Linked DNA regions of Sus scrofa. The protein of the gene in region 2 purifies or fractionates together with the protein of the main gene of each other region. This does not show direct contact. Links are inferred from orthologs where the notes say so. Each region holds a gene or a part of one and is shown on either strand. Other genes may lie near its edges.

Region 1 (10,114 bases), on a different chromosome or scaffold from region 2:
TGCGGCGCCACCGGCACGTGCACACGGGCGAGCGGCCCTACACCTGCGGCGTGTGCGGCAAGAGCTTCACGCAGAGCACCAACCTGCGGCAGCACCAGCGCGTGCACACGGGCGAGCGGCCGTTCCGCTGCCCGCTCTGCCCCAAGACCTTCACGCACTCCTCTAACCTGCTGCTGCACCAGCGCACCCACGGCAGCGCCGCGCCTGCCCCCGCCCCCGGCGCCGCCCCCGCCCCCCGCGGGAGCCTGGCAGCAAGGGCCTGGTTCCCGAGGCCTACCTGCAGCGGCACCTCCAGCCCCCCAGCCCCCCAGCGCCCCCGCCGCCAGCGCCCCCGCCCGTGGTGCCCGAGCTCTTTCTGGCCGCGGCCGAAACCACGGTGGAGCTGGTGTTCCGCTGCGACGGCTGCGAGCTGGGCTTTGGCAGCGAGGAGCTGCTCCTGGAGCACCAGCCCTGCCCCGGGCCGGAGGCGCCGCCCCCACCGCCGCCCCAGGACGCGCCCACAGAGGCTCCCAAGGCCGCCCCGCCGCCGCCGCCGCCGCCGCCGCCGCCCTCCCCCCTGCCGCAGCCCCCTGCCGCCGCCGCCGCCGCCCCCGGCTTCGCCTGCCTACCCTGCGGGAAGTCGTTCCGGACGGTGGCTGGCCTCTCCCGCCACCAGCACAGCCACGGGGCTGCGGGTGGGCAGGCCTTCCGCTGCGGCAGCTGTGACGGCGCCTTCCCGCAGCTGGCCAGCCTCCTGGCGCACCAGCAGTGCCACGTGGAAGAGGCCGCGGCCGGGCGCCCGCCCCCGCAGGCCGAGGCTGCTGAGGTTACCTGTCCCCAGGAACCCCTGGCCCCTGCCGCCGCCCCGCCGGCCCCCACGCCCGCCCCCGCTTCTGTGGAGCGGCCGTACAAGTGCGCCGAGTGCGGGAAAGCCTTCAAGGGCTCGTCGGGACTGCGCTACCACCTGCGGGATCACACAGGCGAGCGGCCCTACCAGTGCGGCGAGTGTGGCAAGGCTTTCAAGCGCTCGTCGCTGCTGGCCATCCACCAGCGCGTGCACACGGGCCTGCGGGCCTTCACCTGCAGCCAGTGCGGACTCACCTTCAAGTGGTCTTCGCACTACCAGTACCACCTGCGGCTGCACTCAGGCGAGCGGCCCTATGCCTGCGGGGAGTGTGGCAAAGCCTTCCGCAACACGTCGTGCCTGCGGCGCCACCGGCACGTGCACACGGGCGAGCGGCCCCACGCCTGTGGTGTCTGCGGCAAGAGCTTCGCCCAGACCTCCAACCTGCGGCAGCACCAGCGCGTGCACACGGGCGAGCGGCCGTTCCGCTGCCCGCTCTGCCCCAAGACCTTCACGCACTCCTCCAACCTGCTGCTGCACCAGCGTACGCACTCTGCTGAACGGCCCTTCGCCTGCCCCATCTGCGGCCGCAGCTTTGTCATGGCCGCCTACTTGCAGCGGCACCTGAGGACGCATGCCCCGGCCAACACCGCTTCTGGCTCTGCAGTCCCCCCTGCCGGCCCCCAGCCCCCTGCCCCACTGGCTGCCGCTCCAGCCCCTTCTGCTACCCAAGATGTCCACGTCCTCCCCCACCTCCAAGCCACACTCTCCCTAGAGGTGGCAGGGGGTACGGCCCAGGCCCCACCGCTGGGCCCAGCAGCCCCCAATTCCCAGACGTTTCTCCTGGTGCAGACCGCACAGGGCCTCCAGCTGATTCCCAGCAGCGTCCAGCCCCCCACACCCCCGCCCCCACCTGCACCCCCCAAACTCATCCTGCTTCCCTCTGGTACTGGTGGTGGGGGCAGCCGTGCAAGGCAGGGCCCAGGGACAGTGGGGAAGGCTGGTCAGGGGGCTGGGGTCGTTTGGCTGCCAGGCCCTGGGGGACTGGGGGTTCAGGGAGGGAGCAACACCACAGCCAGCACAGGTGGGCAGAGCCTTATAGTTCTGCAGAATGTGGGGGGTGGGGAGACAGGGCCACAGGAAGTGAGTGGGGTCCAGCTCCAGCCCCTTCGGCCAGCGCCGGAACTGACCACAGTCCAGCTCCAGCCGGCCCAGGAGGTGGCCACGGTCCAGCTCCAGCCGGCCCAGGAGGTGACCACGGTCCAGCTCCAGCCGGCCCAGGAGGTGACCACGGTCCAGCTCCAGCCTGTGGCAGGTCAGCTGTCCAGTTCCAGTGGGGGAGCCGTGGCCACCGAGGCCCCTAACTTGCTGGTGGTTCAAGGTGGGGCAGCTGAGGAATTGCTGGCAGCACCTGGCTCTGGGGAGCCTGGTGATGGTGAGGCCAGCACAGGTGTGGTCCAGGATGTGCTCCTGGAGACGCTGCAGACGGATGAGGGGTTGCAGAGTGTGCTAGTGCTGAGCGGGGCTGACGGGGAGCAGACGCAGCTGTGCGTGCAGGAGGTAGAGACCCTACCCCCAGGGCTGGCAGAGCCTCCAGCCCCTGGCCCACCGGGACAGAAACTGCTCATCATCCGCAGTGCTGCAGCCACCGACCTGCTGGAGAACAGTAGCGTGGGGGGAGGTACCGCTGCACTGCAGCTGCTGACCCCACCACCGGGCCCAGCCTCTACTCCAGCGGGCATCCCTGGGGCTCCTGCTTCCCAGATGGTCCAAGTGGTCCCTGCTGGAGCTGCACCTGGGGGTATGACCCCACAGGGCCTACCCTCCATCCAGATTGTCCAGACTCTGCCCGCAGTCCAGCTGGTGCACACGTTTTGAGTAGAACCACTGGTACCTCTTCCCGCCCCACACAGAGACCCTGACTCACTGTCCGCATTGGCTGGGCTGAGCTGAACTGTGGGCAGGGGAGCTGCAGGCTGGGCTTGCTAATAAAGACCAGAATCGTCTTTCTTGTGCTTTTGTTTTATTGGTGGTCTGGGAGGTCCTTGTTATGGCCGTAGCCACCATCTGGGAACTTGGAGTCTCACTTGTGTTTTGGTTCTCAGGTGGCTTGCTTTGCGTCTTGGGGCCAGACGCTTCTCCTATGTGGGGCTCTGTTTATCCCTAAAAAGAAGAGATGCAGGGATCATTATAGGGGGATGCGTTGGAAATCCTTGCTCCGGCACTTGTTCGCCGTAAGTCACCCCCCCACACGGAAAAATGGATGAGTGGGTGGGAATGCGCATCACGAAAGTCACCGAGCCCGGGTGGGTTAGGGTTGGCCAGTGTGAGAGCGAGAGGGCTCAGGATGCTGACGTGGCCCCTCCCGCGAAGGCTCCGGAACCAATGAGCATTGATCCGCTCTCTTCGCCGTCCCGCCCCCCTGCGCTCCGGTTGCTGAGCAACCAGGCGACCTCGGGAGGCCAGCGTGTGTTTCCTTCGCGCGTCGGGTAAGTACCGCTCCCCGCCCCCACCCTGCCGGGTCCACAGTTCCCATCCCCCCCATCCCACCCCCTCCCCAACCCCTATCGGCTCTGGTCCTTCTACAGCCCTCCTTTCCCCATTTCCCTTTCTCCCCGCCGCAGGGTCGCTGCTCCTGCCCTAGTCTCTTCCCAGCCCACGCCCTCCTTCCTCATCCCCCCTCCAGAAGCTTGACCGTGGTTGCTAAGGCTGAGGGCAGGCGCTGCCTACCCCCACAACAGTGCGCGAGTATTACGTCACTTCCGCCGGCTACTCCTTCCAGACCCTGCTTCCCCCCCACACACACTTGTCAAAAGCAAAGTGACCCGCAGAGGTGTTTGCAAGTTCTTGTGCCTGCGACAGACCCCTTTCGGGGGCGATTGGGGGGTGGGGAGCTCGGTCCATTCCCTGGCTGTAGGGGGAGTTTCGTTCACCCGTCGGGCAGCCACGGAACTTGGGAGGGAGCCTGGCCTTGCCAAGTGCTGGCGTACACGGGGCCTTCAGGCGTAGATCGCTGAACGCCCCTGGGGGCCGAGAGGCCTCCCGGGAGACTTTAAAGTGGTGGTCGGGTTGAGAGGGAACCCTGTTCTGTCTCGGACCTCGCTTGGGGCCGCGACTGTCCTCCTTGTTCTCATCCGGGAGATGCTGCTGCGGGTCCGCAGCTCTGGGGCGCTCTGGGGAGCAGAGGTGCCCTCCTGACGCTGACCTGCTCATTTTCGCCAGGTGCGCGCCTGCTCCCTTGGGGGCGCAGGAGCTTGGGGGCTGCCATGGCACCCAGCCATCTATCAGTGCGGGAGATGAGGGAAGATGAGAAACCCCTAGTGCTGGAGATGCTGAAGGTGAGAATGGGCAGGGCCGCCAGGGGGCCTGGGGCGTTGGGTGGCGGGGCGCCAAGGAGCCAGAGAGGGTGGAGGGCAGTGAGGGAGGGCTGGACACCCGCGTGCTCTGGAGGAGACGGGGACAGAATGAGGGGGCACCGGAACCCTGCCTGGGAAGGGGCGGGGGTGAGTGGCTGCAGCCGCGCTGAGCCAGCCCTGATCCCTGGAGAGCTATTTTTTCCTCCTGAGGGACTTCCTGGCTTGGCCCCTTCCCTTTTTAGTACCTTCTGTGTGCCCTGGGGGTCCAGAAGAGTTTTAACGGTTCCAGGGCTGTGCAGCCCACCACGCACCCACTCCTTCCCTATTTTCCCCACTTCCCAGGCTGCCCTGCCCCCAGCCTCCTCGCCCACACTCTTCAAAGTAGAGCCCTCGGGCCTCAGCCTAGCCCTCGAGTGCCCCCAGGTTCCCCCTCCAGCTTCCTCTCCTGTTGTCCAGGGTTGTGATCCTGCTCTGGCTTGGGGCAGTTCCTCCATCTAGCCTTCTCTGGTGCCTCGGGCCTGTGTCTCCACTGAATTAGGACCCCCCACACACACACACACCCGCCGCCGCCAAGCTCCTGAGTCACCTGCTTGCTCATTAAACCCCTGTGCGGCAGATGTGCCCGCAAGCCCCTCTGCCACAGGCCCCAGCTCAGTGCCATCCCTTTGCCTCAGATCCCTCCCCAGCAGGGTCCGCCCCCCCTCCCAGTCCCTGCTCCCCACGGGAGCCCCACCGCTCTGACTGCTCCTCCTGCCCGCAGGCTGGTGTGAAGGACACAGAGAACCGAGTGGCCCTCCACGCCCTCACGCGGCCTCCAGCCCTGCTCCTCCTGGCGGCTGCCAGCAGCGGCCTGCGCTTCGTCCTGGCCTCCTTTGCTCTGGCCCTGCTCCTGCCTGTGTTCCTGGCTGTGGCGGCCATGAAGCTGGGTCTGCGGGCCCGGTGGGGCTCGCTGCCCCCACCGGGTGGCCTAGGGGGACCCTGGGTGGCCGTGCGGGGCTCGGGGGATGTGTGCGGGGTCCTGGCTCTGGCCCCAGGCTCTAGCGCTGGGGATGGGGCCCGGGTCACCCGCCTCTCTGTCTCTCGCTGGCACCGCCGCCAAGGTGTGGGCAGGCGGTTACTGGCCTTTGCCGAATCTCGGGCTCGAGCCTGGGCAGGTGGCATGGGGGAGCCCCGGGCCCGGCTCGTGGTCCCGGTGGCCGTGGCCGCGTGGGGTGTGGCAGGGATGCTGGAGGGCTGCGGCTACCAGGCCGAGGGGAGCTGGGGCTGCATGGGCTACACGCTGGTGAGGGAATTCAGCAAGGACCTGTGACTCCAGACCCCAGAGGGAGGAAGCCAGTGCTTAGAGAGCAGCTGCTGTGCACAGGCGACTTGACACCCTCCCTTTGCCCACTCAGGGCCTAAAAACTGAGGCCGCCAGAAGGCAAGAGACCTCACCGCAGTCTGACGTCTGCCTGTCATGTTTGAACTTGTCAGAGAGGTCACGCTGTCCAGCCCCTGCTTCGGGTTCTCTCTGCACGGGGAGACCTCCCCGTCTGGCTGCCACGCCTGTGCCACCTGTGCCACGGGCCTGGGGAGATGTGCGGCGGGAAGAGGGAGGCTAAGCGAGTACGCCCCCCCCAGGGTTAGGACGTGGCGGGGGCACCCCTCATGGGACAAGGCCCCTGGGGAACTGGATGGGGTTGATGCCTGTGCTTGGAGGGGGTGGGGCTGCAGAAGCAGCAGAGATGGGGTGAGCAGAGCCTTGGCAGAGGAGGGCTGTCTGTCTGGAGAGAGCTCCAGGGGAGGGGGGCAGTGGGCCCAGGGCTGCCCGGCCAGGCCAGCCCTTCCCTGGGAAGGTGAGAGCCGAGCGGGGCAGCCAGACCCATCTAGTTTTTTACACTCGTTTGTTAATAAAACCTGAAACTGCTGTGAGCCCATCTCCCTCTCTCTCTCTGATGCCTTTTCCAGTCCGTCTCTGAACCCCCGCTTCTGGCTGGCTCCTCCTTTCCCAGGGTTGACATTAGCTGTCGGTGGGGGTGCTGGACTGGCAGCGGGGGATGCAGTGAGCTCACGGCGGCGGCCCTGCTCCCTGCCAGCCCTCTGACTCACGCTCCCCATTACTGCATTTTTTCCGCCTCACAGCTGCTTGGTGCAGAGAGAGAGTGTGGGGCTGCCCTCCCCCACTCAGGCCTGACCCTCGATTGGCCCAACCCCTGGCCTCAGTTTCCTCAGGAGACACACAAGCTCGACCACTGCTCCCCTCCCTCAGATGCGGGCTGGGGACTTTGTGTGCACATCCCCCAGGGGAGTGGAGAGAGGGGTTTCTTAGTCTCCTGTCTCAATCAAGAAAGTCCTTCCTGGAGTCTGGCTGCACATCTCTTGCTGCGCCCTGAGCCCCAGATGTGCCAGGTCCCTAACCGGGGCGGCTGAAGTGCATCTACCCTCAGAGCCCTCTTCCCTGGTCCCACCAGCCTTCCCTGGCTGAACAGAGAGGAGATTGAGCCCCGCCCCATGCTCGCACCCCCGTGTGCACCCCAGTTCGGATCCCTCCCCGCAGCCTGCCGACCCCTGAGCATCTCAGCCCAGCGTGCCTTCTCCTGGCCGGGCCGCCCTTCTCCCGCGTGGGTGTCTGCAGTTGGACACTCTCCCTCCCGCCTGCCAACGCCCTCCTCCCCAGGCCTCAGGCGCCGGCCAGCCCCCTCCCCGCCCCCACTCCTGTCCCCTGCTGCCTCCTCGGCAGCCTCTCTTCCTCCTGGCAGAGCGTCCAGCCCAGCCTGCTCCTCCCTGGGTCCAAGGCGCCTTCAGCAGGCAGGCGCGGCCCTCCCTCCCTTCCTCCCAGCGGTGGCCGCCACCTCCTCCCTCTCCGGCTCCAGTCCCCTCTCACCCCATCCCCGCCCCGACTCTGCAAACATGAGGGTCTTGGCCTGCCTCCTCGGTGAGTGACCCCTTCTCCTCGGGGATGCAGGGGCCTGAGCCCTGCCCTCTGACCCCTGAGCTCAGCCACTGGGAGGCCTCCAACTTCTGGGCCAGTCCCTGTTCCTCGGGGGATGTGGGGCTTCTGCCCTCCGGCCTGATCCCCCAGGGTCTCCGCCTCTGGCACACTCAGCCCCACCCTCTTAGGCCCACCCCAGGAACCTACCTGCCGCCCCCACACCAGCCCTGACCCTGTGGGGTGTCACCCATCCTTTAACCTTTAGCCAGGCCTCTGGGGAGCGCGAAGGGCTGGCCCCCTGCCTGGACCTGAGGCGTCTGGGGCCCCGCCCACCTCAGGGACCTGAACCTTGCCAGGCCCTCGGCTCAGAGCCCTGCTTCCTAGCTAGCGGGGTTTCTGGGTCAGAGGTGTGAGGCCCTCACTCTGTCCCTCCCACCCCTCCAACCTCCCTTCCAGCGGCTCTGATGGGGATCCAGGCTGTTGGTAAGTGGCCCCAAACACGTCTTCCCTCTGGCCTTGCTCAGCTCCATCCCATGCCCAGCCTTGCCCTCTGCTGGACCCACTTCCCTCAGGACCACCTGGGCGTCCAGCCCCGTGCTTCCTACGAGGCTGGGGCACCACTGCTCTCCCAGACACCCAGGATTCGGCATCAGCAGCCAGGGGGAGCTGGCTCCCAGTCACGCTCTGGCATTCCACCCCCAGCCCCTCCCCTCCCCTTGGCCCCAGGGTCTCCAGGATGTCACAGCCTTTCCTCTGTCCCCCAGAGCGGCTGCGTCTGGCTGATGGCCCCCATGGGTGCGCTGGCCGCCTGGAGGTGTGGCACGGCGGGCGCTGGGGCACTGTGTGTGACGACGGGTGGGACCTTCGGGACGCCGCCGTGGCCTGCCGGGAGCTGGGCTGCGGGGGTGCGCTGGCCGCCCCTGGAGGGGCCTTCTTCGGGGAGGGCACGGGGCCGGTGTGGCTGAGCGAGCTGGCCTGTCGGGGCAGCGAGCGGCAGCTGGGCCTCTGCCCCCACCGGGGCTGGAAGGCCCATATCTGCTCCCACGAGGAGGACGCCGGTGTCGTCTGTGCAGGTAAGGCGCCCTCGGCCCTCTCTGGGAACCCAAGTCCTCAGCCCTGTAACCCTGAGAATCGAGACGTCCAGATGCCCCAACCCTTGACAGCCCCTAAAGCCAGGATTCACCATGGCCCTGGAGGGCCCAGCCGCCGCCTCACCCAGGGTCTGCCCCTCCATAGGCTCCATAGCGTCCGGCTGTTGGATGGCGAGAATGTGGAATAACCCCCTCCGAACCGAAAAGGTCCTTTGAGACTGATAAACAAAGCGGGCAATTCCTTGAAGTGGGATTAGGAGGTTTATCGTTGGGAACTCGCAGGCAGGCAGGCAGGCTCAGGCAGACAGTGAACCAGAGGCGTTTCTTTGCAGCTGCACTTTGCACCCCTGAAAGGGTGCAGGGAGATTTAAAGGGGCCAACGCTAGAGACAGCATCTGACTACCCAAGGGCCGGTCTGCAGGAACAGGAACTGGCGTTCGTTCTCCCCCCACCCCGCCCCACCTGGGGGTCTCATGACCACCACTACTCCTAGGTCGTTAGGCGTCTGCATCGGCAGTAGGCATCCACCCCATGTTCATAGTGGAAGAAGGCAAGGGTAAAAGCTGAGAGGGAACCTCTCTGGTTTGGGCGGGTTCCTGGTGAGGAGGCTAAAGCTCAGCCTTGCGGAGAGGGAAGCGGGCAGGACCGCGGGCCTGGGATGGCGCCGACAAAGCGGAGCCCGTGTGGTCCAGCCCCACACTGCTCTTCCCAAGGTCAGCGTGTGGCTGACTCCAGGGACCGAGAGGACTCACCTTCAATCCTGGACAGGGACCCGTGGCCGGGGCTGTCTGGGGAGCTGAGCCCCAGCTCGGAGGAGCCCCCCGTGACACCTGGTGAGAAGCTCCCCCCCATGCCCTCTCTCCTGCATCAGCTGTGAGAGCTGCCCGTGCCCTCCTCACCCCCGAAGGCCCCCGCCACGCACAGGAGCTTTGGGGACAGACCCGCAGCCCCAGGAGGTGCAGCTCCCAACCTCCCCGCTTCTGTCTCCTTGCCCAGCCCCCCGCCCAGCCGGGACCCCTCAGAACACCTCTCGGAGGAAGAGCCCCAGGCCGTCCAAGCAGGCCAAGTCCACTAGGGCCCCTCTGCTGACTGCTGGAGCCCCTCGCCAGGGTAAGTCCCGCGGGTCCCCCTCTGCCAATCTGGATGGGGAGGCCCCCAGGTGCTGTCCTTGTGGCATCCGGGCATCCGCAGCGCTGGGGATTCCCAGTCAGGCCCAGGCTCCCCCGCTTCTCCCCACACCTAGCCTGGTATCCACTCCCAGGGCCCATGCCCCCTACCCTGCTCAGAGCCTGGCTGTCCCCTTGAAGGCCAGCTGGCAGGCCGATCTCAGCCACTGTCCCCTCAGGGTCTCTGTTTCCCCAGATGGAAAACGAGGGTGCTTGAATCCTCCAATCACCCGCTGCCTCGCACCAGGCCCCTCACCGTCCCCCTCTCCCTGCTCCCCTCCCCAGAGCGGCTGCGCCTGGTCTCTGGCCCCCACGGGTGCTCGGGCCGCCTGGAAGTGTGGCACGGTGGGCGCTGGGGCACCGTGTGCGACGACGGCTGGGACCTGCGGGACGCCGCAGTGGCCTGCCGCGAGCTGGGCTGCGGGGGCGCGCTGGCGGCCCCGGGAGGGGCCAGATTTGGCCCTGGCTCAGGGCCCGTGTGGATGGACGACGTGGGGTGCGGAGGGGGAGAGCAGGCCCTGCGGGACTGTCCCCGAAGCCCCTGGGGCCGGAGCAACTGTGACCACAGCGAGGACGCCGGACTGGTCTGCACCGGTAGGTCCCTCCCGCCGGCCCGGACCCCGCCCCACGCGATGACATCATGACACTCATTTTAAGGGGCTCCCCCTTCCCTTCCCTCCCTCCCTCCCATCTTCCCTCCTCCCTCCTTCCCTCTCTCCCTCCTCTGTTTCCTCCCTTCCTCCTCCTCTCCCTTCTCCTTTCCTTCC
Region 2 (10,288 bases):
TGTACTAAATTTTTTTTTTTTAATTTTTTTTTTTTGACTGTGCTCATGGCATGCAGAAGTTCCCAGGCCAGGGATCAAACCCGAGCCACAGCAGCAAGTCAGGCCACAGCAGTGACAACACTGGATCCTTAACTTTCTGCACCATGGTAGAACTCCTGTCATGTACTAAGATTAACTTTCTGACCTACTATTCCTATGATTAAAATATATACTTTTCGTTTTAAATTTGTTTTCAATAAACAGTACATCCAAGAGTTCCCATTGTGGCTCAATGAAAATGAATCTGACTAGTATCCTTGAGGATGCAGTTTCAATCCCTGGCCTCACTCAGTGGTTATGGATGGGCATTGCTGTGAGCTTCGGAGTAGGTCACCGACATGCCTCGGATCTGGCGTTGCTGTGGCTGTGTCATAGGCCAGAGTTGTAGCTCCAATTTGACTCCTAGCCTGGGAACTTCCATATGCTGCAGGCGTGGCTGTAAAAAGACAAAAAAACCCAAAACAAAACAACACATTCGTATAGTTCAGACATCAGTAAATGTAAAAAGCTATTCTGTAATATTTTTTCCCACCCCTTGTTTTGGCTACCCAGTTCCTATAACTGTCCCCAAACAGATAACTGTAATTATTAGCTCCCTTTTGTATCATGCCAGAGATTTTTTTTTTTTTTTTTTTTAGTCTTTTTGCCTTTTCTGGGGCTGCTCCTGAGGCATATGGAGGTTCCCAGGCTAGGGGTTGAATTGGAGCTGTAGCCACCAGCCTACACCAGAGCCACAGCCACACGGGATCCAAGCCATATCTGTGACCTACACCATGGCTCACGGCAACACCAGATCCTTAACCCACTGAGCGAGGCCAGGGATTGAACCCATAACCTCATGGTTCCTAGTTGGATTCGTTAACCACTGAGCCACGACAGGAACTCCCCAGAGATTTTTTTTAATGTATATACAAGAAGATATGAATACGTTCTTCCCTATCCCCGATTTATACCTAAATGAAAGCATACTATTTAATGATTTTTCATTTGTTATCTCATTTAATGTAATATACAGATTTTTCCATATCAGTATATTAGCTTCACTCTATTTTTTTTTTTTTACTTCTTTGCATATGTACCATTGTACGATTTAATAGAAATTATTTAAGTTGCCTTCTTGTTGATGGATGTCTGCATTATTTCAGTCTTTGGCTATTATAAACAGTGCAGCAATGAACAACTTGAACATACATTGTATAAATGGGGAAAGTGTGTCTAGAGAATAAACCAGAAGTGTGAGTCCTACATCAAAGAGTGAAGGACTTTGTGGAGTTCCCTGGTAACCTAGAGGTTAAGGACTTTCCATTGTCACTGCTGTGGTTCAAATTATTACTGTGGTTTGGGTTCTATCCCTGGCCTGGAAACTTTTGCAGCTGTAGTCCATGGACCGAAAAAAAAAAAGTGAAGGACTTTGTATCTTTTTAGCTTTAAAAGATGCATACTTGGAATTCCCTGTTGGCCTAGTAGTTAAGGATTCAGCTTTGTCACTGCTGTGGAGTGGGTTTCATTCCTGGCTCAGGGAATTTCCACATACTGTGGGGCAGGGTGTGGCCAAAAAAAAAGAGATGCTTTCTTAAACATAGTATCTCCAAATTAAGCCTCTCTTCTCCAAAGTTTACATATTATTTTAATAACACTTTCTCAAATTATGAACTTTTATTTTTTCTTTTTTGGCTACACTTATGGCAAAAAAGGTCCTAAGCCAGGGATCAAACCCATCACAGCAGCAACCGAAGCCCCTGCAGTGACAACACAGGCTCCTTAACCCACTGCTTCCCATAGGAGAACTCCTAAATATTCTTTCTTTCTTTTCTTTTTACAGCTGCAGCCACGGCACATGGAGGTTCCCTGGCCAGGGGTCTAATTAGAGCTGCACATGCAGGCCTATGCCACCACATCCACAGCAACACTGGATCTGAGCCACATCTGCAAACTACACTGCAGCTTTTGGCAATGCCAGATCCTTAACCCACTAAGTGAGGCCAGAGATCAAACCTGCATCCTCAAGGACATGTTGGGTCCTTAACCTGCTAAGCCACAGTGGGAACTCCTAGACATTCTTTTTTAAATTTAACCATAGGCAAGTTGATTATAAATTTTGGCAAAATTTTTTGTAAGCTTAAAAATTGAATTATAAAATTAATTTTGCATACAAATATAAACATTCTGAACTAAGGGATATGAAAAAAGTGGACCATCCCCATGAAGTTTATGTAATTGGGGAAACAAAAAGGATAAATGTGAAATAATTGTGAAAAACAGGCAAGAATTTGCAGTTAGCTATTCAAACAGTGGAGAGACATTAAGTTCTTAATTGGGAGAGTAATATAAAGAAAATGCTGTAAAATACTGTGGCACGTGGAATTTCCCTGGCCTGGGATCGAACCTGTGCCACAGCAGTGGCGTGGGTCAACCCGCTGTGCCACAAGAGAACTCCTGTAAAATACTGCTTTGCAACAGTGTTCACTATACATGAAAGGCAGGAGGTGAGTAAATACTGAGATGAGGTGTTAGGCGTGTCAACAGCAAAGTAAGTTTAAGAAATAGTGCAAGGAATTCCCACTGTGGCACAGCGGGTTAAGGATTCAGTGTTGTCACAGCTGTGGCTTAGGTTGCAGCAGCGGCTCAGATTCAATCCCTGGCCCAGGGACATTACATATGCTTTGAGTGTGGCACAAGAAAGGAAGGAAGAAAAGGAGGGAGACAGAAAGGGCACAAAGAATTGTGCTTATTTTCAACTCCATCTCAATTTTCTCAATTACTGTCTACTATTTTATTAATATATCACACTATATTAATGTAAAGCCAATAGAAATACTTGTCACGTGTACCTGCAATAATGATAGCCATATTAGAGATACACATGTAAGCAGTATGGAGTTGAATGAGAAAGTTAGCCTGGAATAAATGTTACCAATGTTGAGAAAGGTTAATCAGAGAAGGATTCAATTATAGAATTTTAGAATTGGAAGTGATCTTAGAGTCGCAACTTTAATGTTACATATTTGTAATAAGAGGCTTAGAGTGGTGAAGGGATTTGAACGAAGCAATTTAGTGATAGTTGGGACTGGAATTTAGGTTTTCTGACTTCTAGTTCAGAGTGTTTTCCCTCAAGTCACAGACTGGCACGTGGAAGAATACAGTAAATTTTGCACAGGTGTGACTTTTAAAGTCTGCTCTATATGTCAAGGAAAAAGTAAGTACCTAATCTGGTGCTTGATGCAGTACTCAAGCGTGTGTTTAGAAAGCTAAGGATGAAAGTCATGAAGTGACTTTTTTCAATTAGATGTGACTTCTCCCTTTTAAACTTTATGGTACTTTATCCTTACTTCTTTTAAGACACTTAACCTTGCACCATACTTACTGTGTATGTCTAATCCTACCACCAGCCTAATCCCCAGTCAACTGCTTTACTGCAAGAGTGCAGCTTGACTTATCTCTCCATCCTCCACTATGCCCAGCGCAGGATTTTTTAAAATGTTTTTTATTTTTTTTGGAGTTCCCCGTCGTGGCTCAGTGATTAACGAATCCAATTAGGAACCATGAGGTTGAGGGTTCAATTCCTGGCCTCACTCAGTGGGTCAAGGATCCGGCGTTGCCATGAGCCGTGGTGTAGGTCACAGATGTGGCTCGGATCCCACCCACGTTGCTGTGGCTCTGGCGTAGGCTGGCGGCTACAGCTCTGATTAGACCCCTAGCCTGGGAACCTCCATATGCTGCGGGTGCAGCCCTAGAAAAGACAAAAAGACAAAAAAAAAAATATTTTTGCTACACCCGCAGCATGCATAAATTCCCAGGCCAGGGATTGAACCGGAGTCACAGCAGTGACAACACCAAATCTTTAACCACTAGACCACCAGGGAACTCCTAGCACAGGATCTTAAACAAGAGTAGATGCCTTGTAAGTGCTAAAATAGGTTTTCCTGAGGCAGTTGATGCATTCTGACAAATCTGAATAGAACAATTCCAGAGGAGGGAAGGGAAGTCTGGAGTTGTCTTTTATCTGAGCATCCCCCAACTTCATTGGGTTGAGTCCTGTGAAGAGAAAAGACAATAGGTCAAAGAAGGCAGGTTTATTACTACTGCATTCCAGTTGCCCTCTTCACTTAAGTCCAAGGTCCGAGAGTCACTTACTCCCTGGTTCAACTAACATTGGGTTCTAAGTTCTTGTGACATTTCTAATGGAGAATACAAAATGAGAGCTATCCACTAGATTCTGCAGAGAAGCATGCCTCACTAGAGCCTTGGAGAGCAAAGAGCAGCCAATGAGTGCCCACTAAGTTTTGGGCCCTAGCCAAGGAGCCGGGGTTACAGCAGTGAAGACAAGAGATGAAATCCTTTCTGTCATGGTGCTTTAATTCCAAGGAGCCTGGGGGAGAGACAATAAAGATAAATCAGTAAAATATGTAATATGTCAGATAGTGGTTAAGTGTTGAAAAAAAGAGGCGAAGTAGAGAGGAAGCATCTGTAAGTGTATGGGAGGGGTTGCAATTTTATTTAATGAGGCCAAAGAAGGCATTTCCGAGAAGGTGGCATTTCAGTAACATACTGAAGAAAGTGAGAGGAAAATAGCATATTGGCTGTGCCATAACTGTCTTACTGATTATACATGCATAGCTTTTAGTTTGCACGCAATTTGTCCCAGTCGACCTACCCGCAGCTCAAAAAAATAATGAAAGGCCCAATTCTGTAGGTAATGTGGGCAGTTGAAAGAAAGGAGGCCGGGCCAGTAAAAACCCTGACAGAAGATAACAGTAAATTCCCCTCTGTTGGTTCAGTGTTCCCGGAGAAAGAGGCGGGGAGAGGGGAACCCCAAACAAAAACAAAGGTTCCTGTACCTTTAAAAATGGCGGCCCCTCGGGCCAACAATATCATTGGTTGCACGAGGCAGGGGGGCAGGAACTGGGGGGCGCACGGCGCCGCGCAGTCCCGCCTCCTACGGCAAGTCGGAGGTGGCAAGATGGCCGCCGCTGGGGAGGGTGGTGGTGTTGGGGCTGAAGCGGACCGGGAATTGGAAGAGCTTCTGGAAAGTAAGAACCCGTAATAGAAAAGGCCTGAAGGGCGGGAGGTGTGAGGACGCATTCAGGGGGCCAAGTGAATCCGAGATAAAGGAGGCGGAGCGGGAGAGGCTCTTCAGAGGTTGGGCGGGGGCGGAGGGTCTGACTGCGACCCCCTAGAAAATCTCTAGGTCACCCTCTCCTTCCTCCTTGGCGGAGGCTGAGGATCGCATTTGCGTCCCTGTGCGGCCTAGACGGTTGATCTCCTTGCCGGAAGGGAAACTAGTCCAGAGGACGATGTTTCGGGATCCCGCTCCAAACTCCCCCTACTTTAGTAAGTTCTTGGAAGCCTAACTTTCTTCCCGCCAGCAACCACATTCGGTGCTCGGTGGGCAGAGAACTGGACACCCATGGGATTGCCTCCATTAACTCTTAGCAAGCCCGAAGCGTGCCTTTATGTGCAGTATCCTGTCCTCCTTAACACAAAAGACACGTCTTTTCCTTTTCCCAGACCTTTTTCGCACCAGGCTCCTTTCCAATTTTTTCATCATTTCAGAGCTCAAACCCATTCCTATCTCTTTAATTTGAGAACCAGAGTGAGACTGCCTCAGGGGAAGGCAGTTCACCCTCTCGAAAGTGGGTGGCGGAACTTTTCTTCCTTAGCCCCATCCACCACTCCTCTTTTGGTTTCTTGCCCAGAGTGGGGCCAGTGCCCTACCCCTAGGCCTGGCAAGCAGGGTGATGGTGAGGACACAGGCTTTTCAGGGAAGAGGTGAATATTTTTTGTCTCTTGCTGAGTCACAGAGATGTGAGCAGGTGGAAAGACGAACAGAAACGGTGAGAAGTGCCAGGCGACTGTGTGAATTGGCAGACACGGGTGTAGGCAGAGATGAGGCCAAAGGGAGCTCTAGGAGCTTTGGAGAGGGAGAGCTAAATTGAAAGATAAAAGAAGAGAATTCAGTGCCCTCCAATGGTGTGTAATATGGAGTCTCTCAGCTTGTACAAGGACCTATGCGAAGCTAGGTGAAACATCTTGTGGCTTCTGCTCTCTTGCCCAAGATTACTCCCTTGAGGGCTCCAGAGTGAGTTCAGAGGGTTAAGGACATCTGGTCTCTGCCTCCCTTGGATATTTGCATGGGATTTCTAGGGAATCATTAAAGTATGGCAGAGAAGGCACTGTGTCGGTGGAGGTGTCTCTGCAAATCTTTTAACTCTTCTCCTAACTCCAAGAGAGATGCTTGTTCCACCTTGAGGGATGTCTTCCCCTTTATCACATTAAATTAGACAATAGGTAGGGAAGTGGGAGGCTTATTGAGGGGTGGGCTGGGAGACTTTTAAAGGAGAAAATTTTAGGAAAGTTGACAGTTTGTACTCTTAATGTTTTGCCCAGAAACTCCCAACCTTTCATCCTCATCCATCCCCAAAACACCCCATGTTTCTTGTCTCTGAAGGTGCTCTTGATGATTTCGATAAGACCAAACCCTCCCCAGCACCCCCTCCTACCACCACGGCCCCTGATGCTTCGGGGCCTGAGAAGAGATCTCCAGGAGACACTGCCAAAGTATAAATTCCACTCGCTTAAGGGATGGGGAGGGGATGGGCATGCAGCTCTGGGCAGAGGTGGGGAAGGCCCCTGTGGGCCAAAGGGGAGTTGGGGGAGGGTGCCTTGGCCTTACATTGCAAAGTGCTCTTGCAGGCCTCAGTCCTCATGAAACAGGAACTTGAGATTGAGGGGAGGGATCTCAAGGTTAAGTTCCTTAAGAAGAGAGCAGATTTAAATGGTTGGATTGGGAATGCCACTCCATACCCTTCCCTCAGTGGCCAGATGCCTTTTTGCTGTCCTCTTTAAGAGAGGTGGTCAATGTCCAGTGGAGGTGAGTAGGAGGGGAGCACTACATTTCCTAGAGCTTCTCTCAGAGGCCATGTGCAGTGAGTTGCCAAGTAAGAGATGCATTTTGGTCACATCTCCCCTGCAGGATGCCCTCTTCGCCTCCCAAGAGAAGTTTTTCCAGGAGCTGTTCGACAGCGAGTTGGCTTCCCAAGCCACTGCAGAGTTCGAGAAGGCAATGAAAGAGTTGGCTGAGGAAGAGCCCCACCTGGTAGAGCAGTTCCAAAAGCTCTCAGAGGCTGCTGGGAGAGTGGGTGAGAAGGGGGCCCTAGACAACTAGAAATATCTGAACAAACCTCTTAGGTCATTGTTTCTTGAGAACACCAAAATTTTTTTGTAAAGTTGATAGTAATTATGATATCACTGCCATCACAACCATGTCACTGATATCACTGAAGGGAGGAGATGGGAGGAGAAATGAGACCCTGTTTAATGAAAGGGGTAGTTGGGAAATGATAGTTTGGGAAGTAACAGATGAAATTATTGACAGCTGACCATTTTAAAGGTCACAGTGTTAATGTGGGTGTCACTGTGGAGAACAGACTGACACACAGTCCACATAGATTTGTGAAAATAACTGTGGAGATAACCATAGAAAATTCAAAGATGTAGCGTGCCAGTGATTCACTAATAAATGCTCCATATTCAAGCTGGAGTATTCAAGATTGACCAGGTCAGTCTAGGCAAGCAAACAGTTGAAATCAGAAATGGCCTTGACTCTTTTTATCTCTCCTAGGCAGTGATGCGACTTCCCAACAAGAATTCACTTCTTGCCTAAAGGAGACATTAAGTGGACTAGCCAAGAATGCCACCGACCTTCAGGTGAGGGGAAAGAGATAGGGAACCACAAGGGGCCCACTCGCAGGCACTTCACCAGCAGAGTCTCAAAAGACAGACTCCCTTGAGTATCACCTCAAGTCTGTCCCTGCCTCACTATTTTGCTACAGGCAAGTTTAAACAGTTCTTTCCCACCTGAAAGATTGCTCAGCATCCCAGGAAGGCAGTATACTTGCTCACCTCTCCCCTATCCTTTCTAGAACTCGGGCATGTCAGAAGAGGAGCTGACCAAGGCCATGGAAGGGCTGGGCATGGAAGAAGGGGATGGAGAAGGAACCATACTCCCCATCATGCAGAGTATCATGCAGAACCTGCTGTCCAAGGATGTACTGTACCCGTCACTGAAGGAGATTACGGAGAAGGTTGTGAACTTCTATTTATGCTTTTCCTCCTCATTCTGCATTGTATCAACCTCCATGGGCTACTTTGTCTGTTTAGAGCCTGCAAAGTTAAAGTAACTGAAGTGCACAGGTTCATTTGTTTCTTTCTTCCTTATTTATTTGGAAGGAGAGAGTTAGGGAGGCATTGCATCTTAAAGATATTTAAGGTAGAAGGGGAAATCCTTCAGCTCTAGTTTCCTGTAAACTTATCTAAGACTCTGTCTCATCAGCCCCTTCTTGCATTTCCAATTGCATTCGTTTCTCCAACAAGGTTTTACTGAGAATTTTACTGGCTTTAAACTATGAATAATTTTAAGAGTAGATTATGCAGTTCCCGGAGTGGTGCACTGGAAATGAATCCAACTAGGAACCATGAGGTTGTGGGTTTGATCCCTGGCCTCGCTCAGTGGGTTAAGGATCTGGCGTTGCCGTGAGCTGTGGTGTAGGTTGCAGACGCAGCTCGTATCTGGCATTGCTATCAATGGCTGTGGCATAGGCCGGCAGCTGTAGCTCCAAGTAGACCCCTCGCGTGGGAACCTCCATGTGCCATGGGTGCGGCCCTAAAAAGACAAAAGTAATTTTAAGAGTAGATTAAATGATGATTTCTGCCATCAAAGAGTTTATAGTGTTACTGAAGAGATTTTTTTTTGGCTGTGTGTGCGACATGTGGAAGTTCCAGGGATCAAACCCATGCCACAGCACCAACCTGAGCCACTGCAGTTACAGTGCCAGATCCTTAACCCACTGTACCACAGGGGAACTCCTGAAGAGGTTTTTAAAGGTTGTAAAGTCAAAACAAACAAAAGAGACTATGTGGCCCTTAAAGTCTCAAATATTTACTGTCTGGTCCTTCACAGGAAAAGTTTGCTATCCTCTGGTGACTGTGAATGCTAGCATCGCCCAGTGATCTGATTGAAATCACTGCTACTTCTCCTGCTAAATTTGCTTATTTGGCTTTTCCTTCTTTGCTGTCCCTGTCCCCTTCATGTTTTAGTGTTTGTTTGTATTTTAGTGCTCTTACTAAACCATTATCCACTTAATTCTTCCCCACCCATTCTCTCTGTTCTTAGTATCCAGAATGGTTGCAGGTTCACCGAGAATCTCTACCTCCAGAGCAGTTTGAAAAATATCAGGAGCAACATAGTGTCATGGGCAAGATATGTGAGCAATTTGAGGCTGAGACCCCCACAGACAGTGAGGCCACTCAGAAGGCTCGTTTTGAGGTGGTGCTGGATCTTATGCAGCAGGTAAGGGCTCTTGCCATCTGCTCGCTGCTGCTGTCTGCTTGGAAGTTCAGTGGAGGCGGTGTCCTGGAAGGATGCCCCACTGCCAAACCAAGATGGCGGGAGGGGGAGCACAAGAAAGGCCACATAGCATGGTCCTCGGGAGAAAGCATAGAGACCATAGCTCAGATTCTTCCTTTGGACTGCCATGTTGTTTTCTGGGATTTTTCCCTATCTCATGTTTCTCTTTCCTTATTTTCTAGCTACAGGATTTGGGTCATCCTCCAAAAGAGCTGGCTGGGGAGATGGTAAGTATATGTTTTCATATACTTTAATCTGAGCCCAAGTTTCCAGAACTCTGTAACCTCTAGCGGGTCCACCTAAGGTGATAATTGTGGCTTTTTTTGAACCTTCAAAAGCTCTGACCTGAATTAGGAAATTATTTGAGTCCCTTCATCTCTTCTCCAGCCTCCTGGCCTCAACTTTGACCTGGATGCCCTCAATCTATCGGGCCCACCAGGTGCCAATGGCGAACAATGTCTGATCATGTGAAACACAGCACGCTTTCCTTCCTGATTCCCAGCTGTGGGGAACGTCTGGAGTCAGCAGAACCACTGGGAGCTGAGGCAGGAGTGTCGTCTACAGGAGTGGTCTGCCCACTGCCATCTGTCATCCCACCCAAGATTGTGCCATACCAGCTGAGGCTTTCTCTCTGTCTTTCTGAGAATAAGGCCTGTTCCACAGCTCATTTCTGTGAGCCCGTTCCATTGTGGTTTCTGCTGCTAGCAAAGGCCCGGCTCCCCACCAGGTGAAGGAGGCATCGGTTTTAAGGCATGCATCTTCTTCCCTCTCCCAAGATAACGTGTAGGGCCACACTAATGTTCACTTTTGTACCCAGGGTCTTTGTGCCTTGTCTCTACTCCC
Region 3 (10,366 bases), on a different chromosome or scaffold from region 2:
TAAGGGGGAAAAAAAGGACAATGAGTTTTAGAGAAGGCTCAGGCCTCTGGGGACTCGGTCTCTGGTTAACTTGAAATTATCTGAAGAGTAATTAGGTCACTGACGGGGAAGATGGGGTTGCAGAAATGTTCAGGATCCCAACTGATCTACTTTTGTCAAAGGTTACAATTAGTTCTTCTGAAGTCATCATAACTTTTAGTTAGCCAAGATTTCTTCTTAATCTCTTATCCTATTACCTATTACGGTTAATGTCTAAATGTTCAATGAACGGTGTTTGGCGTCCTGTTTTTAAATTTCTCTGTATAACCCCAGGGTTCTCTGGAGAAGATTGTACTATGTAAATCTAGGTACTCAATACCATTTGCAGACAACTTAGCACTTGCTATAAATAGACAGTGAAAACAGATGGTGTTAAGGTGGTGGGATTAGGAATCTAAAATGTCTACTGTTACAGCAACTCAACTTGGAGCCACAAATCTACCACTATGTAAAAAAAGAGGGACAGCTAAAAATATAGGCTGAAAAGCCACCATTCATTTAACAAAAATAGACCATACAAGAAAGTCTAGGATGGGAGTTCCATTGTGGCTCAGTGGAAACAAATCTCACTAGTACCCATGAGGATGATGAGGATGTGGGTTCGATCCCCTGGCCTGGGAACTTCTGCCGTGGACGCAGCCCCCAAAAAGAGAAAGTCTACCTTATTGCTCAAAAGTGTTTCCACAGTGATTGAAGCCAATCATTAAGGTAACTTTATTATTGAGTTTTTCCCCTCCTACCCATCTTGTCAACTCAGGAAAAAATGGGAAACAGTCCTTGTGGACTGCCCCGCTGCCATGCTTAAAGGAATGAAGCTCACCTGGAGAGCATGGCCGTGTAGGCATCGCTGGCGTGGCCCTGCTCCCGGTTTTTCTTCACAGCTGGGGAGATCTCCTTTCTCACTTTGACAAGGTCCTCCACAGTGTTGAAGGACAGCTTAATGTAATTTCGCTTCAAACCCACCAAGTGATTTGGCTACAGAGTAAACAAATGGTGCTCGTGAGTTCAGGAGAAAAAACACTTTACGGGGGAGAGAAAATAAGGGGAGAACAACTCAAAAGTAATTCAATGAGTTGAAGAGTTGGCAACTCCAAAGCACCTTGTCCAACTCTGCATGTGGCACCAAGCAAGCCACTAGAGTCCTCTAAAAGGATGTGGGGATAGTCACCAAAGCCCAACACCTGCCCTGCCCCACAAGTGCTAACTTGTCCTCTTCCCATCTCACCCCACAAGCAGGGTGGGCCTGGCCTCATTTACCCTTAAAGGGCTGGGTGATACTCACCAAGTCCAGATCCTCTTTAGGGACAGTCTCTACTTTAGCAATTTTACCCTGAAACTTCTTAGAGAGGAAAGATGAAACTTCTCGTTCACAACCCTAAATCAGGATTAGAATGAAAGGACTTCCCGTTAGTATAAATGATTTCCTTCCTTGCCTATTTCTCCAGAAACCTCTTTATGTCCAGTTATGAAGCCCCTACCCCCACCCCAACCAAAGAATGAGACACAAGTCATCTGACCTGATGCCATGAATTACAGACTTACCTTTCTGGTGGCAATGTAAAAATATGGTTTGTAGGGCAAGGCCACCTGCAAGAGTCACCACCCATTCAGGGGGGATGAAAAAGAAAAAAGGGAAAAAAATGAAGACAGGTTGTTTGAGGAATATAAGGGACACAACACTGACCATTTTGCACTCCTTCCAAGCTAGCTTCTCTTAGGGCACTATTTTTTTTTTTTTTTTTTTTTAGGGTCACACCCATTGCATATGGAAGTTCCCAGGTCAATGGTCGAAGTGGAGTTGCAGCTGCCAGCTTACACTACAGCCACAGCAATGCCAGATCCAAGCTACATCTGCAACCTACCCCACAGCTCACAGCAATACCGGATCCTTAATCCACTGAGCGAGGCCAGGGATCAAACCCACATCCTCATGGTTACTAGTCTTAACCTGCTGAGCCACAACAGGAACTCCTCTTAGGGCATCTTAAGCGACTAATGCGGCTCCAAGGGACCCAAGTTCCTGATGAGCTTTGGGTGGCTGTGCACTACAGGCCTCCCATCCCCTCTCACCTCACAGGTACAGAGCTAAAAGAACACTTGTCATTTGGGGTACAGCTATGTCTCATTACTGAGGGGTTTTTTGCTTCTCGGGGTTCAAAGGCTTACCTTAAATCTGCTGCCATCATCTTGAATAAAGTAGTAATCCACTGCACTAATTAAGCGTTTATCTTCATCTAAAATCTCAGTCTACAAGAAAATCAGTCAACACGGGCACAAGGTTATCCTCTACACAGTATGAGAGCCTTTTCCTCTTTCTCTGGGAAACTAGCACTTAAAAACACCAGCCCCACTCACAAGAACCACATCATAAAAGCCTCCAGATGGGAATTTCTCTTTTCCCTCTCATTTCTTAGGGGTAACAGAGATGCCCCTCACCTCAGTCAACCCAGTGGCGTTTTTATGACCCAAACAAACTTTTTTTTCCTTAGTGCCGCACCCTTGGCATATAGAGGTTCCTAGGCTAGGGGTCGAACCAGAGCTACAGCTGCTGGCCTACACCACAGCCACAGCAACTCAGGATCTGAGCTGCTTCTGTGACCTAAACCACAGCTCAGGGCAACACCAGATCCCCAACCCACTGAGTGAGGCCAGGGATAGAACCCATATCCTCATAGACACTAGTCAGATTCGTTTCCACTGTACCATGACAATGACCCAAAGAAATTTAAAGAAGAACAAAGTAGGAGAGCCATTTCCTCTCCACCCATATCGCCCAAACAGGTTCCTGCCAGGTGTCACCTACTCTTCAGACCAGGGCTATGCCACAAGGATGCAGCCCAATCCTGCACGGGAGCGGGAAGTCGGAGGAAAGCACGTGCTTACGGGGTGCATATTGATGAGCCAGCCTGTCTTCTCACCAGGCTCCTTGAGTCTCTCAAACCCAAACCGCAGATCCATCTTATCCGTCCACTGACTGCGCTCCAGGCGCTTGAGCGCAGAGACTGAGGAAGAGGGGCCATCATCCCTGAGGGAAAGCAGGACGGTCTAGTTTCCACTGATGACACCATCCACCCCCCCAACCTCATCCCTCCAGAGTAAGCATCTCAGACGTGTCATGGGTTCAATCCCTGGCCTAGGAACTTCCACAGACTGCAGAGTTGCCCACCAAAAATAAAATAAAAATCTCTGGATTCACCTTAGATCAAAAATGCAGAAAAACTGTATTTCAGGCCTTGCTAGAGTAAAGATAACCTTCTTCAGAGCTGTTGCTGCTGGTCTATGCTAGAGCCACAGTAACGCCAGAACCGAACTGCGTCTTCGACCCACACCACAGCTCAGGGCAAGGCCGGATCCTTAACCCATTGAGCTAGGTCAGAGATCGAACCCGCAACCTCATGGTTCCTAGTCGGATTCGTTTCCACTGTGCCAGGACTGCAACTCCCAATAAGATAACTTTTATCAGATCAAGACTGAATGAAATACTACTTATGGAGGATCGCCCCGTGGGCGGGGAGCCCTCTGTACTGCATTCCTCCAAATACCACGGCATGGGTGCCATCCTGTTACCAAGTGAGTGGGATTAAGTGGATTCGAAAACTGCTCACTTGGACCATATCACCTCTCGAGGCTTTTCTGGGGAGCTGTATAACTCACTGTTTATCCCGTGGCAGTAGAAAATCTGAAAAATGGAGACAACAGTAACAAAGATAACTACCATACTGACTGTTTACTAAATGAGACATTGTCCGAGCACTCTGCGAAAAGTCAAAAGCGACTCTTCTTTGGCAGCTTCGCTGGCATCCGCCGCCCTAAGGAATGCAGCGAGTCCGAGGGAAGCAAGGGGCCGGATAGGGAGAGAACCCGGGTCCATGCCTCGCATCTCTGCCGCCTCGATTCCAGCACAAATGCCGCGTAGCGCGGGGGGGGGGGGGGGGGCTGGAGGTTAGAGCACAAAGCCTCAGCCAGCTCTCTGTGGTCACCGGTAGCGACGGTGGCGTTGACAGGGACGCCTGTCAGCCCCTCCTAGGAACTACCCCGCAGGGTGAAGAGTCGGCAAAGGCCCAGGTTCCCGCGCAGTCCCTCCTCTCGGTTCAGTCCCAGAGACACTCCTCTCATCCGGCGTCCCTTCCCCACCCGCGCCTCCGCTGGGCCACTCGCGAGGGCCTCGAACAAGCTGACGGGGGTGCAGAGGCGGCACCTCGGGGGCGAGGGGCAGCAGCAGAGAGACCCCCGACTCTCAAACCCGGACCCCAGTCTTGCCGCCGCGGAGAGCGCCCAGAGCGCTCTCGCCGCTTCTGGCGGAAAAGAAGGGCGGCCGAGCCCGCCCTCTGCATGCCCGGGAGGCCAGGCCGCCCCTCACCGGCTGGGTTCGCCCTCCGGGCCGGGCTCCGCGCGCCGCCGCCCGGTGTTCCTCAGAACCATCGCACCGTGCTGCGCCTGCACTGCCGCCGCTACCACTTCCCTGGAGAAATTTGGCGCGCTCCCACCAAATCTCGCGAGATACCGGAAGGCGGCCCCTCCCACCGCCAACGCGGCCCAATCAGGAGGCGTGTTGCGCCCCGCCCAACCGAGCGCCAATCGCAGCTGGCGCCCTAGGGGGGGGTGGGGGCTGGTTAGGGACTCGGGAAAAAGTCCGCGGAGGCGTGTGTCGCTCACCCTAGGGTCTGTCCCCGGCGGCCCTGCGGCCCGCGGCGGGGCGGGAAATGTCCGGCCCTCCCCGCCCGGCGCCCGGCGCCCTTTACCCCGCACTCAGGTAGCCCACAGTGGGGTCGGTGCCCCTGGCGGGCGCGGCTCAGGAAAGACTATGGCCCCGGCAGCGTCGAAACTGCGGACCGAAGCCGGGCTCGGGGCGCTCCCGCGGCGGGCGCTCGCCCAGTACCTGCGCCTTCTGCGGCTCTACCCGGTGCTCACCAAGGCGGCCACCAGGTCGGCGCGGAGGGAACGGGCGCGGGCGGGGGGCGACCTGGAGCTCGAACGACTCGGTGACCCAGCCCCATAGATGTATTCTACGTGGGGGCCTGAGTGTGAAAGGCAAAATCCCCGTGCGTCGAAACAACCCTCCAGAGATCTTAAATTCACCGGAAAGTTGAGCACGTGCGGTCTAGTGCGTTCGGTTCCTAAAAATACGGACCCAGGGACCAGAGTAAAGGAGCGCACGAGCTCAGCCCCTCTGCTCTGGGGGTAACGCCCGTCCGAGGTGAATGGGGCTGGGAGAGAGGTCTGTCACCTGCCATCTGCTGCTGCCTTGCGGCTGGTTAGTACTCATTTGTTCTGAGGATTAGAATGGCGTTGAGGTACATGCCTTTGGGAAAGGCGTGGGAAGGCTACACGGGTGGTAGGTGTTAAGTCTTGTTTTCTCCAGCTGCTTTTTCTCTCGCTTTGAGAGAAAGCTGACAAAGCGCCCCCAGTGCTGCTGGCTAGCTCGGCCCTATTCTTTGGAGTATTAATTTTTTTATGAGCCATTTTCCCCTTAATTACTTTTAAATTATCAATTTTACAAGCGTGTCCCCTTTTACTAATTCAGGCTTCGGTAAATGTGAGCAGCGATTAAGATAAGTAGGTGAGGGCCCTACCCTGACAGAGCTTGTGTTGGAAGAAAGAACTAGACAAAAAGCAGAAAAATATGTAACAGATAAAGTGGTCAGGGGAGTTTTATATGAAGAGGAGACATCTAAATAGAGGCTTGGGGAGTTCCTGTCGTGACTCAGCTGGAACGAATCTGACTAGCATCCATGATGCAGGTTTGATCCCTAGCCTCGCTCAGTGGGTTAAGGATTTGGCATTGCCTTGAGCTGTGGTGTAGGTTGCATATGTGTTTTGGATCCAGTGTTGCTGTGGCTGTGGTATAGGCTAGCAGTTACAGCTCCGATTTGAACTCTAGCCTGGGAACCTCATTATGCCATGGGTGCAGCCCTAAAAAGACAAAAAAAAAAAAAACCCAAAAAAACCCACAAAGCTTGAAATAGAGGCCTGACAGAGTTCCCTGGTGGCTCAGTGGGTTAAGGACCTAGCATAGTCCCTATTATGGCTCCAGTCACGGCTGTGGAAGGGATTTAATCCCTGGGCCGGGAACTAACTTCTGCATGCTATGAGTGGGCCCATACACACACACACACACACACACACGTACATACATGCATACATACATACATGCCTGAGGAAGGGAGGGAGCAGGCCATGCAAAGAAGGAAAGCAGAGGGTAGAGGGTACAGTAGATGCAAAGGTCTTGAGGGAGGAGCAAGCTAATAATGGAGACCTGGAAAGAAGGTCTGTGCCATTGGAGAAAAAGAACAGTGAGCAAAGGAGAGGTTGAGGAACACGTAGCCAAGGATCAGGTCAAGAGGGTCCTTATTGCCCCTACTAAGAATTTCACATTTTATAGATTGGAGATCTTCTCAGAAGGCAGCCGTAGACCAAGCCTTTGAGCACCTAGGCCTGTCTCCACCTTTTTTTTGAAAATTTTATTGTGATAAGTGTAGATTCACATGCAGCTGTAAGAAATAACTCAGGGAGATCCCTTTTGCTTTTCCCAGTTTCCCCCACTGGCAACATTTTGTCAAACTATAGTACAGTATCACAATCAGGACACTGATGTGGATACAATCCCTAGATCCTATTCAGACTTCCTCAGCTTTTCTTGTACTCATCCATGAGTGTGTGGTTGTGTGTATGTTTAGTTACATGCAATTTTAACACATGTACAGGTATGTGTATCCACCACTGTAGTCAAAATGCAAAAATAGTTTCATCATAAGGATCCCTCCTGGGAGTTCCCATCGTGGCACAGCAGAAACAAATATGACTAGTATCCATGAGGATTCGGTTTCGATCCCTGGCCTCGCTCCTTGGGTTAAGGATCCAGTGTTGTCGTGAACTGTGGTGTATGTCAAAGACGCAGCTCAGATTCTTGCTATGGCTATGGTGTAGGCTGGTAGCTGCAACTCCAATTTGATCCCTAGCCTGGGAATTTACATAGGATATGGGTTTGGCCCTTACAAGCAGAAAAAATCGAATAAATAAATAAGGATCCCTCCTGTTGCCCTTTTATAACCACACAGTAGCTTCTTGCAAAATTATAGAATAATATCACAAGCAGGATATGACATCAGTACAACCTACCAATTGGAAATCTTACTGTGCTTGTGTGTGTGTGTGTGCATGTGTATTAAGTTCTATCATCTCCAGCTTTTGAGATGGAGAACTTATATTTTGGCTGCTCTAATAAAGGTTCATGTCTACCCGTCCCAAGCACGTTCGTAGACCTGCCATGCTAATTTCATGCAGGAACATCAGATGCCTCCTGTAGGTCATTTCTGTTTTCTGAATACCTCTCTGTCCACAGTGGCATTTTGTCAGCACTTGGGAACTTCCTGGCCCAGATGATTGAGAAGAAGCAGAAAAAAGAAAGCTGTTCTCAAAAGCTAGATGTCAATGGGCCTCTCAGATATGCCATTTATGGGTGAGTTCCCCAAAGGGGCTGGTTTACTCAAGAGCAGGCTCAGTGCCACAAAGCTCAGGTCAAGACCTGGCATAGTCTAATTTGGAAAAATAATTTTGCAGAAGCATTGATGTCATTATGGGGAAAATATCAGAGTGGTGGATAAGGTTAACTTCACTTATGGTTTCATTTGGTTTTTATTTTTAAGATTTTTATTTTTTCTATTATAGTTAATTTATAATGGTCTGTCAATTTCTGCTGTCCAGCAAAGTGGCCCAGTCATATTATCCTCTATCATGTTACATCTCAAGATATAGTTCCCTGTGCTATACAGCAGGATCTCATTACTTATCCATTCCAAATGCAGTAGTTTGCATCTACTATCCCCAAACTCCCAGACCATCCCACTCCCTCCCCCTGGTTTTTAGTTTGAATTACACAGGTGGGTGGGGGTGGCCGTTTTAATTTGGCTGAGACACCTGAGAGCGGATGGCCTGAACCTAAAATCATACTTCAAGACCCGCAGATCCTGAAAGAGGAATCCAGACCCAAATACAGCCAGTTAGTTTGTGTTGCTATTTTTGTAGCATAAACATACAGAAAAGAAATACTTAGGGATCCTGAAAATTGTCATTTCTGAACCACTTTTTGAATTGCAAAAGCACAGAAATTCAGCAGTTTTACCAGTTAAATCCACTCTGAGTTCTCTGGCAACAGTAGTGTTTGCAGTGATGGATATTCTGAAGTCTTTGGCAATAAAAGTGTTGTTTTTTTTTAATTCAGAATTCGCAAGTAATATTTTTATATCTGTAAGCATGCTAACTTGAGTCATCACAGCTTTTCCACAATGTATTTAAAGTTCTAGGAGTTCCCATAGTGGCGCAGCGGAAACAAATCCGACTGGGAACCATGAGGTTGCGGGTTTGATCCCTGGCCTGGCTCAGCAGGTCAAGAATCCAGCATTGCCGTGAGCTGTGCTGTAGGTCTGGCGTTGCTGTGGCTTCGGCATAGGCCAGCGGCTACAGCTCCAATTAGACCCTAGCCTGGGAACCTCTATATGCCGCAAGTGCGGCCCTAAAAAGACAAAAAGACCAAAAAAAGAAAAAAAAAAAATCTGGAGTTCCCGCTGTGGCACAACAGTATTAGTGGCATCTTGGGATCGCTGAGTTAGATACCAGCCCTGGCACAGTGGGTTAAGGATCCAGCATCACTTCAGCTGTGGCATAGGTTGCATCTATAGCGTGGATCTGATCCCTGGCCCAGGAACTCCATATGCCAGTGGGCAGCTAAAAAAGAAAATACGTAAATAAAGTCCTAACCCCCCCCAACCCCAAGAGGGGAGAGGGTATCAGAATCGCCTGGAAGAACTTGTCCATTCAGCTTCCATCCCCAAGATTTACATTTTCTTCTACCTGAAAAGCCCTGCTCTGGACCACTTAACATTCTATGAAAGGTGAAAGGGCAGGGAAAGGGGACAGTCAAGTGAGAACTGCTTGTTTAAGGACTTTTGGTGTCTACCTGGAAGCACCCAGAGCCCCTGCCCATCTTTTGATCCTGGATCTTCTGAAGCCTCAGGTCTGTCATCCTGTTAGACCTGGTGGCTGGGTTCAGGCCTCTCCTGAGTACTCTGTGCACTTTAGAATGAATAGTAGCAATACAGACAAGCCAGCGCATCAGGTGTCAGCCCTGTTAGCGATCCCAGAGGATTTGCTGAAAAGCTCAAACACCAGGCAAAGCATCCATTTATTTGCTTACTACCTAGCACCTTCTCTGAGCCAGGCCCTGTTCTAGGTACTGCAGACACAGCAGTGAGCAGACAGACCCTGTTTCATGGCATTTACCCTCTAGGGGTGAAGAGAAGTCACTCTAAACAAATGAGTTCATGACATTCAGTGCTAAATGCGCTGAAGAAAATGAAACAGGGCCTGGAATATAGAGTGGCTGGGACAGTAGTAGATTCGTTATTCAGGACCATCTGGGAGGAGCGCTCGAAGCCAGTGGTGTTGGGAAGGAAGCAGCCATGTGACAAGCAGGGGATCCGAGGCAGGAATAAGCCTGGCCTGTCAGAGGCAAAAAAAAAAAAAAAAAAAAAAAAAAGCTGGAAGTAAATTCATAGCATATTTTCAAGAAGGACCTCACAAACCTGTGCAGTCAGGGCTGAGGGACTTCAGGGAGGCAGGGTGCAGGATCCGGGGTTGGGAGGTGAAGCTGGACCCAGGAAGGGTGTGTCCCGCTCACCCCCTCTGCCGGCCTCAGGTTCTTCTTCACAGGGCCGCTGAGTCACTTCTTCTATCTCTTCCTGGAGCACTGGATCCCTCCTGAGGCCCCCTGGGCCAGCGTCCAGAGGCTCCTCCTGGACCGGCTCCTCTTCGCACCCGCCTTCCTGTTGTTGTTCTTCCTCATCATGAACTTCCTGGAGGTTGGTGTCTGCAGTAGCACCCAGGCATTGACAGCTCTTCCTCGGGGCATGGGGATTCTTAACCTGGCACCTGTGCTTGGACTTCAGAGAGTCTGTGAACTCCTCACTACACTCAGGTTGAAAATTCACATTTTCCTTTGTGAACTTTGGAAGCAAGCCTCAGTTGGGTCAGCAGCGCCTGTTGGCTTGTGGTAGCAATCCCAGGTAGTGGGTGTTCTCCATCATTCTTTATACCTGCAGCCAGGTCCCATCACTGAGTATGTTAATAAAGAAACACATGCACGAGTTCCCTGGTAGGTCAGCAAGTTAAGGATTCAGCATTGTCACTGCTGTGTGGTGCAGGTTCAGTCCCTGGCCTTGGAATTTCCACATGGCAAGGGGGCAGCCAAAAAAAAAGCACAGGGTGTTCCCGTTGTGGCTCAGTGTGTTGAGGATCCGATATTGCCCTGAGCTGTGGTATAGGTCACAGA

The links.
Region 1: the proteins of PEX19 (region 2) and NAT14 purify together in Homo sapiens (co-immunoprecipitation; 3 studies listed by BioGRID and IntAct, counting the BioPlex papers as one, with this or other methods). This does not show direct contact. The link is inferred for Sus scrofa from reciprocal best matches to the Homo sapiens genes PEX19 and NAT14.
Region 3: the proteins of PEX19 (region 2) and PXMP2 purify together in Homo sapiens (affinity purification with mass spectrometry; 3 studies listed by BioGRID and IntAct, counting the BioPlex papers as one, with this or other methods). This does not show direct contact. The link is inferred for Sus scrofa from reciprocal best matches to the Homo sapiens genes PEX19 and PXMP2.

Annotation. Positions count from the first base shown.
Region 1 is NC_010448.4:59,634,978-59,645,091, forward strand, and holds NAT14 (N-acetyltransferase 14), read left to right. Parts: upstream 1-3,196; 5' UTR 3,197-3,312; intron 3,313-3,578; exon of another isoform or gene 3,579-3,656; intron 3,657-4,045; 5' UTR 4,046-4,089; coding exon 4,090-4,161; intron 4,162-4,939; coding exon 4,940-5,488; 3' UTR 5,489-6,090; downstream 6,091-10,114. Other genes in the region: soluble scavenger receptor cysteine-rich domain-containing protein SSC5D, read left to right, coding at 6,670-7,093, 7,547-7,573, 7,855-8,163, 8,895-9,014, 9,178-9,291, 9,633-9,941. UniProt on the Homo sapiens protein: Probable acetyltransferase. May act as a transcription factor that regulates the expression of coproporphyrinogen oxidase by binding to a promoter regulatory element.
Region 2 is NC_010446.5:90,192,106-90,202,393, forward strand, and holds the start of PEX19 (peroxisomal biogenesis factor 19), read left to right. Parts: upstream 1-4,880; 5' UTR 4,881-4,885; coding exon 4,886-5,069; intron 5,070-6,487; coding exon 6,488-6,597; exon of another isoform or gene 6,598-6,814; coding exon of another isoform or gene 6,815-6,910; intron 6,911-7,012; coding exon 7,013-7,178; intron 7,179-7,660; coding exon 7,661-7,746; intron 7,747-7,961; coding exon 7,962-8,123; intron 8,124-9,211; coding exon 9,212-9,388; intron 9,389-9,627; coding exon 9,628-9,672; intron 9,673-9,832; coding exon 9,833-9,916; 3' UTR 9,917-10,288. UniProt on the Homo sapiens protein: Necessary for early peroxisomal biogenesis. Acts both as a cytosolic chaperone and as an import receptor for peroxisomal membrane proteins (PMPs).
Region 3 is NC_010456.5:22,792,290-22,802,655, reverse strand, and holds the start of PXMP2 (peroxisomal membrane protein 2), read left to right. Parts: upstream 1-4,636; 5' UTR 4,637-4,843; coding exon 4,844-4,965; intron 4,966-7,381; coding exon 7,382-7,498; intron 7,499-9,733; coding exon 9,734-9,896; intron 9,897-10,366. Other genes in the region: POLE (DNA polymerase epsilon catalytic subunit A), read right to left, coding at 860-1,014, 1,322-1,414, 1,582-1,626, 2,206-2,286, 2,923-3,064, 4,400-4,461. UniProt on the Homo sapiens protein: Seems to be involved in pore-forming activity and may contribute to the unspecific permeability of the peroxisomal membrane.